Linked DNA regions of Nothobranchius furzeri. The main gene of each other region encodes a partner of the protein of the gene in region 2 in a complex. Links are inferred from orthologs where the notes say so. Each region holds a gene or a part of one and is shown on either strand. Other genes may lie near its edges. The genes, in order: camk2a and lrrc7.

Region 1 (7,651 bases), on a different chromosome or scaffold from region 2:
TAAAATATCATTTTGTCAGATCAACTGTAAAAAAGGGCAAAGTGAGTTTGAACTATTGTCCAACTGAACAAATGGTAACACATGATGAAAAAGCTCGCTACCGCACTGAAGTTGGAAAGGCTTGACCATTTCATGTTTGGCATGAAATGTTAAATAAGTGTTGACAAGCAACTACCTCAGAGCATGTGGGTGTTAGAACTGGTATTATGTGCTCTGGTGTTATGTTTACTACAAATATGTGCTTTGTTTTGATATAATGGATTTAGTGTCAACTGGAAGTGATGTCATTGTGGTGATCGCATAGCCAATCAGTGATCTGTATGGTAAATTTAACCTCTGTTGATGACCAATAAAAACGGAGCTTTAGCGACAGACTGTGAGGTAGAAAAAGAGACGGCTTGGCTAACAAGCAGGCGTTGAGAGTCTAACCAAACTCCAGTGAAACTTATTTATGTGTGATTGTGTCTTTAACAGGGAACCTCTGTGCGACATACACCTCTCTGGGAACCACCAGTAAACCTGCAGTCTGAGAGCGAAGTGCTAGGTTAGGAACGTATGGAACAACCAGGTCACTGATGTACGATGGAGCTTGAATATTAATTAATCTATGTGAAGCACTTTGTGGTTCTATGTCTGTGATGAGTGCTATAGAAATAACATTTACTTACTTACTAGAGCTGCGTGTCATTCACAAAGCAGTGGAACTGAATGTTAAATATGGGACCTAAAGGAAGAAGGTAAATAATAAAGACAAGTGGCCCCCGGACAGGGCCCTGGGGCACACCTCTAATAACTGGAGAGTTGAGTTGTATGAACTGAGAACGACCAGAGAGACATGAGTGAAATCAGCTGAGTACATTATGGGAAATGCCAATGGATGACAACCTGTCTACATGAGTAGAATGGTAAATGGCCTGTATTTGATACAGCACCTTCTAGAGTCCTGGAACTGCGGGAAAGTCGTGCAGTTTGAGCTGAATGTGAGTGCTATGAGTGAAAAAGTCACACAGTGTCCGCCCGGCTTTAGGGGAGTTGGTTACTGTGTTGGCTATGGTCCTGATGAAGTCCTGATGAGTGACTCATTCACAGCCCCTGATTACTCTTAGCTGGCCCAACCGGAGCTACTACACAACAGGGTTACCCACAGATGGGTTTCTTCCTCTTTCCGAATGGCAGATAGTACAAAGATAAGAAAGACGATACTTGCACTAACAGACACTCAAGGCCCTTCCGTGCTACTAGAAGATTATAGACACCTGTGATGATGCCTTGAATAACACGTTCCTTTGGTCATTCCTAGGGGTACCATCATTTTTGTCCAGGCCTGTTTCATGAGTTTGTTTTAATAATTCTGTTGAAAAGAAATGTCTGACTTTCACTGGTTACCTTTCAGAGAATTGTTATCTACTTTTATGTTTCTCAGATTCAAGTTACGCCTGTGACCATTCATCCATGGCAGTTGATTAACAGGCTTCTGCGGAGCTTAATGAGCTGCTGAAAAGATGAATCAAGTATGTTGGAGAAAGGAAACAACTAAAACATGGTGGATAGCGGCTCTCGAGAACCAGGGAAGTTTTTTTGCGTTGAATCCATCCCACTCAAAAGGATTTCAGAAAACGGATTCTTGACAGCTTCAGGACCTTCCAGCATGAGCAGTTTCAGGGCTCAGCCACTTTAAGAATACAAGCTGGAGTTGGCCACGCCCACCCTTCCCCAATCAGGTTGCTATAAGCTCTTATTTCTGGGAGGGGCTCAAGCCTAATTTAAGTAGAACTGATGCTGATCAGAATATCTGTGGCTTCTGGACATGCTGCCCTTCACACCAACTGGGAATCGTGTGTGCACGGGTTCATGTGACAACAGCTACGTGTAGAGAGGCGCCCGAAAACAAAAGCCACACTCGTCTGCTCGTACTATCACACACTGCGAACTGATATTCCTTTCATTAATGATGCAACACGGCTTTTGTTTTGAAATGAACCAGGTACACTTTGGTGCATCTGCATCATGTCACTTCCTGTCTGGCTCATGTCATTTCCTTAACTTCATGAAGATCCACAAGTGGCATCTGGAAAAAGCTGCAACCAAGTGGAAAGACTCTGCTGCTCCGCCCCACAGCCGGCGTGAATGAGGGCAGAGCCGCTGCTCCTCCAGCATGAGAGGTGGTTCTGGTCTCATTCACTTTTGTTAGATAGCTTGTTTATATAGATGTGGGGCGGCGGCCCTCATGGCAGCAAGGACAGTGGGTTTTACAAACATGTCTCATCGCATCAACAGAGGTCTGAGGGTCTGGCCCGTGGGTGCTGATCTTACTTGTTGAGGGTGGAGGGAGAGCCTGAGCGATGGAAGTGGACAATTTGCCACTTGCCATCGCGGCGGTGCCACACCCGGGTCTCCTCTGATTGGGCGGTCCGAGGAGTGCCGTTGGAGTCGATGTACTGAGTCACTCTGATGTAAGCAATGCAGGCGGCCTCGTCACCCACCAGGTGGATGTGGGGGTTCAGGATGGTGGTGTGGACTGGTTTACTGTTTTTGGACCACACTGCCCTCCCACCACACACACACACACACACACACACACACACACACACACACACACACACACACACACACACACACACACACACACACACACACACACACACACACACACACACACACACACACACACACACACACACACACACACACACAGGTTACCAGAGTAAATCGCTCTAATGAGAGGAAGCTCTAAAACCAATTTCTACTCACAGTTTTCAAAGTAAAAGCGATGGAAGTCCAGTCCTTCCACCAAGTTCCCCAAAGCCTCAGGTTCGAAGGCTGTCACAGCCGGGTCGCACATCTTACTGAGGAGAGACAAGATAGAAGGTTGCCGACAGGAAGTAACCCACCAGGGATATGGGAAGAATTCTCTGAAACCACAAAACTTTTATTTTATGGTTCCACCTAATTAAAGACCAACTGTTTTATAAAGGTGGGAAAGTTCAGTTCATACATTTTAAAATTAACAAGTTCATTTCTATTTCATAAACTAGGTTCACAGTTCCAAAAATATATATATAAATGAATTAAAAAAAATATATATATATTGCCCAGGGGCCCATATGGTTAATCCGGCCTTGGGTTTAGTTCGTTTTTAAAGCTCAGTTTTAAGTTTTTCATTTAAAAACAATCATTTAAATATAACAAAAGAACCCGTTAAAAGCACCAGAATGTGGGAAATGACACCTGCTCACTAAAGTCTTTCTGTGGGAGACGCCCAGACCAGCTCCCCATCACCTGATGTCCTCCGTCTGTCTCTGTCCTCAGAGCTGAGGACAAGCCTGGGACATGTAGCTGACATGTCTCAGTCTTTGTCTCTTCTCAGGGGAGCAGAAACTTGTTAGCAGAAGGCTTTGCTGCTCTAAGAGCAGGGACACATAGAAAACATGCACCCACTGTGGCCTTCAAGGACCAGGTCTGCTCTCCTGTTAATGTTCACAATCACTGGTCCTTTCATTTGGTGTGTGTGTGTGTGTGTGTGTGTGTGTGTGTGTGTGTGTGTGTGTGTGTGTGTGTGTGTGTGTGTGTGCGTTCATTCATGTTCCCACTCCCTGTAGACATCCTGTTAGAGTTTATAACACAGGATTTTTCATAACTTGGCAAAATTGATGTTAAAAAATATTTTTCATCTAAACTTTTTTACCGAGCAGCTTTTGGTTCTTACACCTAAAAGTCGCCACTGAGCGACAAAAAAGGACTTTTCTTTTGTGATGAATGCACTGATCTCACCTCACAGCACAATTGTCCTGTAGTCGATCTGAGGTTCACTTCAAAGTCAACAAACAAACAAACAAACAAAGATGGTTGAATGTTACATACGTGTAGCTTTCAAAGTCGCCGTTGCTGATGGCCTCGATGAGCTGCTCTGTGACTTTAATGATGTCCTGCTTTCTCACTGAATCACACACACACACACACACACACACACACACACACACACACACACACACACACACACACACACACACACACACACACACACACACATTAGACTCTCTGGAGCATTGCAGCAGCAGGTCAGTGGATCGGCTGGTGTTCACCTCTGGTATCTTCATCCTCGATGGTGGTGTTGGTGCTTTCAGACGATTCCTGCAAGCACAGAAACGGTCAGGCATCAGCCCTGCTCTGGTTCTGGTTCTGTTGGGTTCATGCATTCTACAGGTGTGTCTGGTGTTTGAACCCGCCACCTGCTGACAGCTGCAGTGTTACCTTCACTCCGTCTGCCTTCTTGTTGCTGCCACTCTTCCCTCCTGAACAAGGGATGAAAACAAAGAGACACAGAAGAACCAAAGTGAGGAAGAAAGGAACAAATGCAGAGAAGAGCAGCAACGGCATCGTACAGACAGCTGCTGCCAATGTTCCTTTTGGCAAACCTGCTGTCCTAAGAGGGCAATACAACCAGCAGCAGCTCACAGGTGACAATTTAAATTTTGGAGAATAAAAAAGAACGGCGAACTGTTTTAGGTTCAGGGCTAGTGACTGTGTTTCCTGTCTCCAGTCTGACGGGCCAAGCGAGCTCTTCACACGACACGTGGGCCACGCTGAGAGCTGAGGCCAAATTTAGGATGAACTTGAGACGGCAGCAGAGCAGAAAGCGTGCACACATTCCTGAGCGTCCCACCGGGACCTCCCAGTCCTCCAGGTCTACAGAGACATTGTGTGAACAATAATCTCTCTTTCAGAAATGGAAAACTTTGTATTGTTGACTTCGTACAGTCAGACAAGCTGCTGGAGCTAGCTGGAGCACACACACTCAGGTTCTGGTTCTGGTGAAGATCTTAGCTGGTAGCAGCATTACACCTGCTGTCCTTGCCACACCTGTGCCAGATGCTCAGGGAAACATCACTTAGCTGTAAAGACTCTGACACTAGTCAGTGACTCGATGCGACCTAATGGGTTCCTCACATTGGAAACTTGCTACTGATTGGCTTAATGACCTGACCTGACCTGTGTTGTTTACTGTGTGAAGGTCCCGGAGACCACTCTGGTCCTGATTCGGTGCTTTATAAATAAACTTGAATTGAATTGAGGTCACAAACCTCTGTTACTCTACTGAGCATGTGCAAATGGCTGCAGATGATTGGCAGAGCAGGTTTGGCATTCTGCTATTTATGTGCGTGAGCAGCAGCTGCCACGCCCTGCAGATTCACACAGGCATGTGTGTGTGTGTGTGTGTGTGTGTGTGTGTGTGTGTGTGTGGGGGGGGGGGGGGGGGGCATTTGTTCCAAGTGCCCAAAACGCCCTTTTTTCTGTCTCCGTCTGTTTAAACCATCCACAGCTGTCCCACAGGTCAGGCACTAGGACCGTGTAGAAGGCCTCCAGCTGAAGCCTATTTTCCCTGTAACGTCCAGCAATGGTCAGTTTGTAGGTACTGTTTGACCATTCAACATCCGGTCCAAAAGGAGACACAAGACTGCATGTGTTCCCTTTAAATTGGCCTGCCTTCATCCAACCAGCTGGAGCTCAGAGCCTCTCTGCAGCTCTGAACACATGATAACGAAATGTCAACAATAATGTTCTCTCCTCAAGGTGCATCCTTATCGTCCTACAGGATTCTTCATGCCTAACACTCGCGGCTCGAATCAGTTGCTAAATCAAATAATGATTTCCTAAGTTAAATATGAACTTCTAACTTATAAGCTAGATAATCATTAAATAAATGTTTGTTTATTGCTACTTATAATAATTATAATATAATGAAATGTTTCATTAATCTGTGCTCAATAACTGAAGTTTGAAATGAATGTTATGTTATGATTACAGTGATTGAAATATGTTTCAGCATGTTAATATGACGAGGTCATCACCACTTGCACTCACACAAGAACAAAGTAAGGTTAAGTTAAACTCATGACACATAGATAGCCTTTACCCCAGATCAGAGCCTCTGGATCAAGGAAGGTGTTTCTGAGTTGTCTTGGTAATTTTCCTCAACATGCCAACCTCTGGTTGGCTACACAAATCATAACATGAGAACATTAAAACTGGACCACTCTGGTGATTCACCACTCTGGTGATTCAGCAGTTCTAGAGAAAGCTTCAGACCGGCCATCTGAAGCAAGACCCTCTTTAACCCATTAAAGCTTTTGACATGTCATCAAAATCTTTTTGCACCTGCGAAGCTGATACAGCAAAACAGTTCCTGCAGAACAAGCTGATATTGTTCAGACTCCTTAAGAGTCCCAGACGCGCGGTTCCATCCATCTGTCATGACCCGAGACATCTCTGGACTGAAGGGTTGGTGCCACGGTATTCTACAGCCCTTCGGTGCCAGAGGTCATCTGACCTCTCTGACCTTTGGATCCACCAAGAGGGTCTCCGAGAACGGGTGAAGTAGACACACAGATAGCGTCTGATGTGCTTTTGATAATAATCAACTTCATAGCTTAACGCAAACCCAAATTCTTTTACATCCAGAACTCAGCTCTCCTAGACACGGAAGTTCTGACAACATTGCATTCACATCTAGCTCCATCCATCACAGTAAATGTTAGTTAACTTGTCATGTTTTACTTGTTGGTAAAATAAATTCTTACTTTTATAAACGTGACTCTTTTCAAAATCAAAACAAAGTGTTTACAATCCCCCAATAAACAACGAATCCTAGAATCTTCTGATTAACACAGTAAAGACTAAGGAGGTTGATATTCTCTATTTAGATAGAGTATCACAGCTTATTGGTCATAAGTAGAGGTAATATATATATATTGAGCTCTTAAAGGACTCAAGTCCTAAACCCTACATCCCTCAGACCTGCCCACAAGCTCACTGATTGGATCTGCCACGTCATACTATCGTTGTCTGGCTGTCGGCAAGAGGTCACGTTTATCTACCTCAGAGTTTTTCTCTGCCTGCTTCACATCAGCTCATGATCACATTAACATTTGAGTCCGTGGTTAGAGAGTGTGTGTGTGTGTGTGTGCGCGCGCGCGTGTGTGTGTACGAGTCATGGTGGATGGCTGCTTATACTGAGCCAGGATTCTCTGAAGGTTTCTTCCTGTTAAAAGGGGGTTTTCCTCTCTACTGTCACTGCATGCATGCTTAGTATGAGGATTGCTGTAAAGACTCTGACACTAGTCAGTGACTTGATACAACCTGCTGGGATCCTTATACAGAAAACATTTTACTGTGTGAAGGTCCTTGAGACAACTCTTGTCCTGATTTGGTGTTATAGGAAAAAACCTGAATTGAATTGCTGTACTTTGTCATTAAGTAGTCCCAAGTTTAAAATGGTGCCTGTGATTACTTTGTTACTATTTATTTTCACCTACAGTCCTACTGATTATTTAGGTCACCAAGCAGAACTGCGATCACTGCCGAGTGATTTTAAGGATGTTTTTACTCACAATGCTATTTGGATCTATTCACCTACTGTGTTTCATGCTAGGCTACAGCTAAAGCAGTACAGCTGGGGTGTTTCTCAATGTCAAGGAACCTTGCCTTGATGTCTTGCCTAGGAGATACGTCATCAGGAGCCGCCAAGACGCGTTCCAATCGGTTCTAATGTTCATGTTCTACCGAGGCGTGTTTAGCTAGCTGAGCAAGGCCACACGGGAGGTGTCTTGTAGCCTAGCCTTGGTCAAAAATTACCCACAATACACCGCAGTAT
Region 2 (7,651 bases):
GCCCTGTGAGGATGAGGGTATTTGTACTGCGTATTCACTTTTGAGTTTCGGTTGAAGTCAGCAAGAATAGGACCGGAGCCACGAGTGTAATACATAATTTCCAAGCCATAGTTTTCTTTGTTTGCCCTACTTCTTCGTGATGAAAGGTGCCAGATGAAGAGCTTTGTCTATCTAATCAGTATGCTGCTGGACACGTCTTTGTGACTATTTTAGAAATGTCTGACTCGAGGCAAGCCCAGAACAACCGGAGGGGATTATTTATAGATAAGGGACTGTCTTGGAATTTAGGATGCAGCAAAGCACCACTGTGCTTAGTTTGCTGCTGAAATAACCCAGACCTGTGAAATCAAAGCATAGTGAACTTGTAATGCCCAGTCATGCCCAACAACCCGGTGGGATCAGGTGAAGAAAGTACAATAAAAGAAAATGAAATATCCTCAAATACACATGGCTCAGGTAACAGAGATAGCCTTACCTGGGAGGCTCCATAGGTCTCAGTACTGTAGCTCCTAGCTGACAGGGGGCGACGTTGAGTTAGACTTTTGGTTGGGTAACCAATCATTGGCTTCTTCTGTTCTTGGTAAGTGGGATAGTCGTCGTCATAGCGACCGTTCCTTTTATTGTGCATCATTTGATTTTGGTTGTCAGCCATGTTGGTGAGTGCAGAGTGGTCCATGGGGGAGGAATAGGCAAGAGCACGACTATAATGCGGGGGGTCTGACTGAGAGAGTAAAAAGGGGCAAAGGTTTCATCAGGCCATGCAATGAAACTAAGAAGATATATGAGAGCTCCAGATTTAAAAAGTGACTGGTTTGATTTTCAACAAGTAGCTTTTTTAGCACATGCATTAGTCAATTAATGAGCCTAGTTGATATGCCCCCCCCACCTGCTGTTTGTATTGAGCTTCCTGTAGCAGCGCCTCCTGCTGGGCTTCATGAACTCTGCGGAACAAAGCGAGCTCCGTAGAGCTCACCAGAGAATCGGCTCTCCTCAGAAACCCTGGCCTGGAGCGCTGCGTTGAGATTGTTTGATGCTGCTGGCTGGGTGGGCCGTCTTGACTGATTGGTGTTTGAGGGAAAGAAAACATCTCCAGTGGCGGGTATGCCCGATACCGCGGGCTTACTAGCTCTTTGGGCAGTGTCTTTCCTGGTTGATTCAAGTAGTCCATAACCTTTGATGAATGGTTAACGTAATCTGGTGTGTTGGGAAACGGGGGAGGGACTCGACGATCCATGGTCACCTGATTGGGTAAAAAATTTTAAATGAAGATTATTTCATTTAATTGTAATAATAATAATAATCAGAATTCATAAAAGAGAGAAACTGCCTGACCTGTGGGTTGTAGTTTTGGTCAAAGTGATAGGCCTTTTGGGGAATGGCAGGCTTTGGATTGTGGTTGGCTCCATGTCCTGGAAAGATCATCTCATCATCTAACATGGGGGCAGACTGAGATCGTGACATGCTGGTCTGTTCCATAGAGCCAGGGAGCTCGGAGCGGTCCAAGCTAGTCTGCTGCTCAATGGATGAACTATAGCTTTCCATGGGAATACTGCAAAGAGAGAAAACCATTTACGGTCCAACCACACAAAAAAAACTTGCTTTAAAAAACTAGGTCAAATCATACCTGTAGACTTTGTAGGAGCCAATATCGATCTCATCTATGCTCTGAGACTTCTTGAACTTGGATCTTGTCTCCTTCATCATGGGGGACAGGCGGTCTGAGCTTTTACTCATCACAACAGTTACCTTGTTGCCCCCGCCGACAGTGAGCTGATCTTTCCTGTTCTGATCTCCCTGATTGTTGTGATATGTCCAGCTTCCGGGCAAAGGCCCTGAACCTGGATCCAGCCTTGCAGCAAATACATGAGACAAGTCAATGAGGCGGTTAATGGATTAACTAATAATAATTGAAAAAGCTATATTAGAATTGCAGTAGTAAAATACAGATGCTAATGAAGCTGTGTGATTGCGGTGAAATGATCTCAGTAAGTTAGGCAGTTATATTCCACTGTATGTATTTGTTGGACCAGTTGAACATTTCTGTGCAAGACTCCAAATATTTGGGCAGGTGTTTCCCAGGAGCAGAGTGACTGTCGCTTGATCCAAAACCTTGTTGGCAGGATGCAGGATCACGCCCCCCCCCCCACTGTATCTTTCTAAGTGGATTTAAATCCAACCGATTTGGATATTGGATGAAATAGAAAATAAACAAATTAGTCTTCGCTATACACGTAACAAACAAAAATAAAATGCCCTGCAATTTTTTAAGTAATAATTTAATAACTTCATAGTTACTCATTCAAATAATGCAAAAAATGACTAATGAAGCAATACAAACAATTTTCCGAGTTAAAACCGTCTGATTTCCTGTTCCTTACCTTGAGTCCATGTCCTTCCGATCGGGGTTGGGGCTTGACGTTGGGGTTAGGTCCAACTTTGAAGGGAAAGCAGTCCTATCTTCCAGCGGGCTTGGGGTCCTAGTCCAATTCTGCCAGGGGTTCTGGGAATGAGGCCCAGAGGACTGTGGATCACTGTCCGGATTAGAACGTTGGTTACCATGATAGGAGAGTGTCTGGGTGTCCAGCTCCAGGGGGACTCCTACAATTCGATCTTGCCTGAGGAGAGGGCGGCGTCCATGGGCCGACTGGCTGCGGGGTTTGGAGCCCAGTGGAGGGTTTCCCTGGCTGGTATTAGATGGGGGGTCCAGAGGAGACTCTTCCGCGTCAAACCCTGTGTTATCATAGTGAGGGGCCTCAGCCCAGTCAAAAGGCTCGCTGAGTGGACGGCGGTCTCCACGTTGCTGTAGGGTCCCTGATGGAGGGGTTTCCCTCTGAGAAAGCAGGGGCTTGGAGTCAATGGGTTTGGGAAATGACTGGGCAAGTCTACAAAGATGGGAGAAATAACAGCTAATCATACAGTGAAGATTGTTAAAAATGCTGTGCTACATTAACGAGTATTATGATGTGCGTCAAAGGGAGATGAGAACTGCATGCCTACCAACCAACTAATGCCACTTACACACTAGCATCCACTCCGCTCCGCCTGCCCCAGCCCGGCTGCGTTCGTTCCACACTACCTTAGCAACGTGGGCGTGATTGAGTACATGGGCAGTATGTGGTCTGTGATGTCACAAGCACATGTAGGCGGGGCAAACGAGCGCAGAGAAGTCTGCAGTATCTCCATTATTAAACAAAAGTTGCCTGAGCAGTCTTGCTTTTGGAGACTCTCACATCTGCGGGCTGATTCTTTCTGCCAATCGGAGGCTTCCCCTAATGGTAGGTGTGCTTTGAGCTGGCCAATCAGTCAGCAGTGGGCGTGTTGGGCCAGTTTGGCTCCAGGCAGATCTCCTCAGGAAGAGGGCTGAAAAGACGTCCGGTTGCAGGTGGGAAATTCCAAGGCCGCCTAAAGGAGAACACTCCCATACTGGTCCAGGCAGAGTGGAGCCGATGCTAGTGTGTAAGGGCCAGTAACATTTGGTGGATTATGGGCCTACTGATATTATATATGGGTGTCGGAAATTAAGAGTTGGTCTATATCAAATATTGGTAAAAAAAGCTGATATTGGACATTCCTATATATGTCTGAAAACAAAAATAACATTTCCCAAAGTATTCAAACTCCATTTCTGCGTCAAATGCAATGTTTTGCAAGGATGCAGCCCCTGAAAAAAAGGAATATAGTGCACCGACTGTCATGTGCGTACCCCAGGGCATGTGAAATAACAAAACAAATGTCAAAAAATACCAAAAAGACATGTCCCTCTGCAGGGGTTCCTCAGAGCACACAGAGCCCCAGAGGCATTGGAAGTGAGGGAGAAGTAAACATATTTACCAAGAGTATGTGCATTCCCATGTGTTGATACTGAAAAATACTTGTCTGTCATAAATCACAACCTGAATCAAATTTATTTGAAACGATTTAGGTGATAATGTAATAAATGTGGTATGCAAGCTAGTATTAATATTTTGCTGATTTTTGTTGTGACATTTCTAATAGAAGATGGATTAAAAACATGTTTTATTATCACGTGTTTTTTAGCTCCAGGTCCACTACAACCAGAATAACGACTTGAACAAAAGTACCATAAAGTAATTATAGTAAAATAATCTCACAATAAAAATAATTGCTTGTCTGAATCTGAGGAGAAACGAGGTGAGAAAAAAACATCCTGAATGCACGTCTGCAGCATCCTAATGAGCCTCTCTGATCTTGATGGAGCAAACAGAGAGATGAGGAGGGTACACAGAGATGGAGGGAAGGAAAGACGGATAGCGACTGGATAGGGGGATGAGATACGTGACGGATTTGAACTAAAGAAGAAGATGACACAGATGGTTGGAAGGAAACCCAAATGGTTAGAAAGTGTGTGTACCTGTTGGTCCAGTGTGACTGGGGGACCTGGTCCTTACTGGGAGGCGGCAGGGCAGGAGTGTGTGTGTGGGGGTGAGAATGTGTGTGTGAGTGTGTGTTTGCAGACGGATTGGAGGAGCCAGAGGAGCCTTGTGAGGGAGAGTAGTCCGAGTAGGTTGCAGAGGAGCCGCTGTGGTTCAGACAGTGGAGTTTATCTACGTCCTCGTCTGTGGACTCTGGACGGAGACAGACGCAGAAGGACAAATGCTGATATTCACTGAAAATGTCACATCTTCACTCTAACAGCCTCTTGCTCTTGAGCTGACAAGAATACAGATAAAAAGATACCTCTCCAAGCTTTTTTACTTTTTGTCTTTTTAAGAAATACAAAACGAGCAACTTCTGCTTGAAAAGGCAAATTGAGGCGTTTTTCCTGAACAAATCATGAAATATAATTTAGCAACAATGATAATTTGGATTATTTTCAAGTTTAAGACGTCCATGGAACAAAGAGAAAAAATATGATATACATGGTGAATCAACCTTTAAAGCCTGACGTGTGTAATTATGACAAGTGAAGGCTACGTTCATACTGCAGACAGCACATCAAATCCACTTTTTCCCCCACATGCGACCCATATCTGACTTTTTTGTGTACTTTCTCCTCCAGCTAAATTCTCCGTGCCGACACAGATAGCAAATCAACCATCGTTTACATTTTTGCATGAAGTATTAGTTGTGACTGCTCGTTTTCTTTTTCTGTTTGTTTTGAGGTAATTATTTGTCTCTTTGAATTCTACGTTGTTGTACTTTTTATTTAATTTTTTTTGTGTTCAAAATAAAGATAAATAAATAAAATAAGTAAAGTAGAAGAAAAAGAAGAAACCATCTTTTAATAACGCCTCTCAAGACAAAAATCACAAGGACACTTTTTAGAAATCAAGAACAAAAATTCAATGATTACAAACTACAATAAACATTAAAAAGGGATGATCAAAAGTTTAAATTTCTATTAGTCACTGCTAATAAATAACAAACCACACGAAAAAGGTGTTTCAATCAGTGATGTAGAACAGTTACGGGCTGCAGAGATCACAGAGTGTCGCATCTTTATTTTTCCTTTTGTATTAATCAACAGTATCAAAGCAGCATTTGCATTAATAATTTAAACCCACCAAAAGACACGCTACGTAAATTATTTTACAACTTGTTCCCTGGAGAAAAAGCAGATTGATTAAAGCTTTTTTTTTGATCCAGAGTTTAAGATGTGATCTCAGACGATGCGATTAAAGCATTAAATTATTTAACGCTAAAACAGAGTTTTGATGAGGCATTAAGATGAGCTTTGTTTTCCTCAGATGAAACTGAAGCCTTCAGGGCAGAATAAGCGAAGCAGGATGAACTAAACGCTGCTTCTAGTAGGCAGAAGCTTACAATTACTGCAGAGGTTCTTAGCACTTTCTCTCTGTGTGTCTCTTTGTGAGGCACAACATAATATCGTACCTTTCTTATCCTTCCCCAGCAGCACCACCTTTGGTTTGTACATGGGCGGCTCCACCAGAGTGGGTCTCATGTCCGAGATACGGATGTCGTTGGGAGAACCACCCATGGAGTCCTATAGGGGGGAAAGAGATGTTTATGTTTATGTATTTAGCAGACGCTTTTGTCCAAAGTGACTTACAAGTGATATGGTGAGATTGACATCCTAGGGTAACAAAAATCCTGCATAAAAACCACTCTGCATGCAGAAATCATGTTTGTGTTCTTTAAGTGTGTTTTTGTGTTTATGACAAACCTCCGAGCTCTCTGTTAAATCCTCTTTGTCCTTCCTCTTGGGAATGTCGATGCCAGAGTTATGCATCGATCCCTGATCCATCAGCTGGGACTGAGAGAAGTCCTGCATCTCTCTGTCCGTCACCTGATAAAACAGTTTATTTTTTCACATTAAGTCACGTTTTTGGCTCAAATCTAACTAAGTTCCTAGCTAAGTCTGGTTAAAGGTGTTTGTCTCCTTCCTTGTAAATGTTATTTTCATTCTGACCAGTGCTCAGTCTCTTTTTTCTTTGAGTGGTTTACTGCCTGAGTATCTTTTATTTTTACCTCTTTGGGAGGCAGGGGCCATGGTGGTTCATATGGCTCTTTGCTGAGGTGCGTATGCTCCATGTTGGTTCCTGCTGAGGTGGCACTGCCCGTGCTCAGCTGGTGCTGGTGCGCATGGCCAGGATGTCCGCCTTTACCCACGAGACTTTGCACCGACTTAACCATGTTCTTGAGGTCCTCGGGGTAGGGGGTCGGGTAGCGCTTCAAGTTTATTTCAACCTTCAATGAAAAAACGTGAAAAATCCAGATTAGTTTATCTATTTTGTTGTTTTAAAGGTGCAATATGTAAGAACGAAGTAAGATTGACATTCTGTGGTCAAATGTGGTTACTGCAATCCATTTTTCTAAACAAAAAGTTACTTTCTCTCTGTCGTTCAGTGAGTTTGATGGTTGTTGCCAGTTATGGATCAATGCCAGAAGATTCTAGATGACAAGTGAAGACGAGTCATACACAGTCAGTAGATAAGTAGATAAACAGATTGTCGTATATGGAGTTAGCACTCTCGGGTGGGTTAGGGTTAGGGAGCGCTTACCTATTACAGTAATATGCCTCCAGCATCAGAGGAGGTGTAGTTATATGCCATCTTGCTGTTAGCTTGCTGAACGACTCATTACAGGAAGTAAAGTGCCACGATTGACTAATCATTCACTTCACACATACATTTCACTGGGATATCAACATGTTGGCAATTAAAAAATTAGCTTGTGATATTTTAGATCTGACTATTTATTTTAACAAGTGAATTTCGCCACTGTGGGGGTCAATAAAGTCTATTTTATTCTATTCTAATTCACCGTTAGCGCGGTTAGCTCAACGTTCACCCAATATTAGAGTAAAACAAAAACAAAACATAATTTCTGGGTCGCTTCTGTTTACTGGCTTTGGATCTTTAAACAACTCTTGAGCTTTTTTGCCTGCTGGTGTTAAATTGCAAATGTTGGCGCTGCTGCGTTAGCTTGACGCAGACTCAGCAACCTCTCCAAACTCACTGACACAGTAAACTACGCCCTTTTGGCCATTTTGAAAGGAGAAAATCTGACAATCCCCAGCCGGCTGACAATGAAATCTGTTTCAGTGTAACCTTCCTTCTTGCATGATTGAGACGTTAGAGTATTTTGTGATTGTTTCACTGTAGAATTCTTACACATATCTCTTTTAACCATCTGCTTCGCACATTTCGCTTCAACAACTGACTACAGT

What was found.
Region 1: the proteins of lrrc7 (region 2) and camk2a are in contact, whole or in part, in a crystal structure (PDB 6X5G), measured with the Homo sapiens proteins. The link is inferred for Nothobranchius furzeri from reciprocal best matches to the Homo sapiens genes LRRC7 and CAMK2A. Residues at the interface, in NP_001357714.1 of Homo sapiens: His843, Gly844, Arg845, Arg846, Pro847, Leu848, Ile849, Arg850, Gln851, Asp852, Arg853, Ile854, Val855; in NP_001350919.1 of Homo sapiens: Glu96, Phe98, Glu99, Ile101, Val102, Lys137, Glu139, Leu159, Phe173, Ala174, Gly175, Thr176, Pro177, Gly178, Tyr179, Leu180, Ile205, Gly209, Tyr210, Pro211, Pro212, Phe213, Trp214, Tyr222, Gln224, Pro233, Glu236.

Annotation. Positions count from the first base shown.
Region 1 is NC_091750.1:27,047,442-27,055,092, reverse strand, and holds part of camk2a (calcium/calmodulin-dependent protein kinase type II subunit alpha), read right to left. Parts: intron 4,685-7,651; exon of another isoform or gene 4,541-4,684; intron 4,458-4,540; exon of another isoform or gene 4,293-4,457; coding exon 4,252-4,292; exon of another isoform or gene 4,132-4,251; coding exon 4,083-4,131; exon of another isoform or gene 4,037-4,082; intron 3,938-4,036; coding exon 3,862-3,937; intron 2,847-3,861; coding exon 2,752-2,846; intron 2,543-2,751; coding exon 2,314-2,542; intron 1-2,313. UniProt on the Homo sapiens protein: Calcium/calmodulin-dependent protein kinase that functions autonomously after Ca(2+)/calmodulin-binding and autophosphorylation, and is involved in various processes, such as synaptic plasticity, neurotransmitter release and long-term potentiation.
Region 2 is NC_091748.1:71,483,456-71,491,106, reverse strand, and holds part of lrrc7 (leucine-rich repeat-containing protein 7), read right to left. Parts: intron 6,670-7,651; coding exon 6,451-6,669; intron 6,269-6,450; coding exon 6,146-6,268; intron 5,966-6,145; coding exon 5,854-5,965; intron 4,587-5,853; coding exon 4,373-4,586; intron 2,883-4,372; coding exon 2,379-2,882; intron 1,850-2,378; coding exon 1,625-1,849; intron 1,550-1,624; coding exon 1,333-1,549; intron 1,241-1,332; coding exon 887-1,240; intron 722-886; coding exon 476-721; intron 1-475.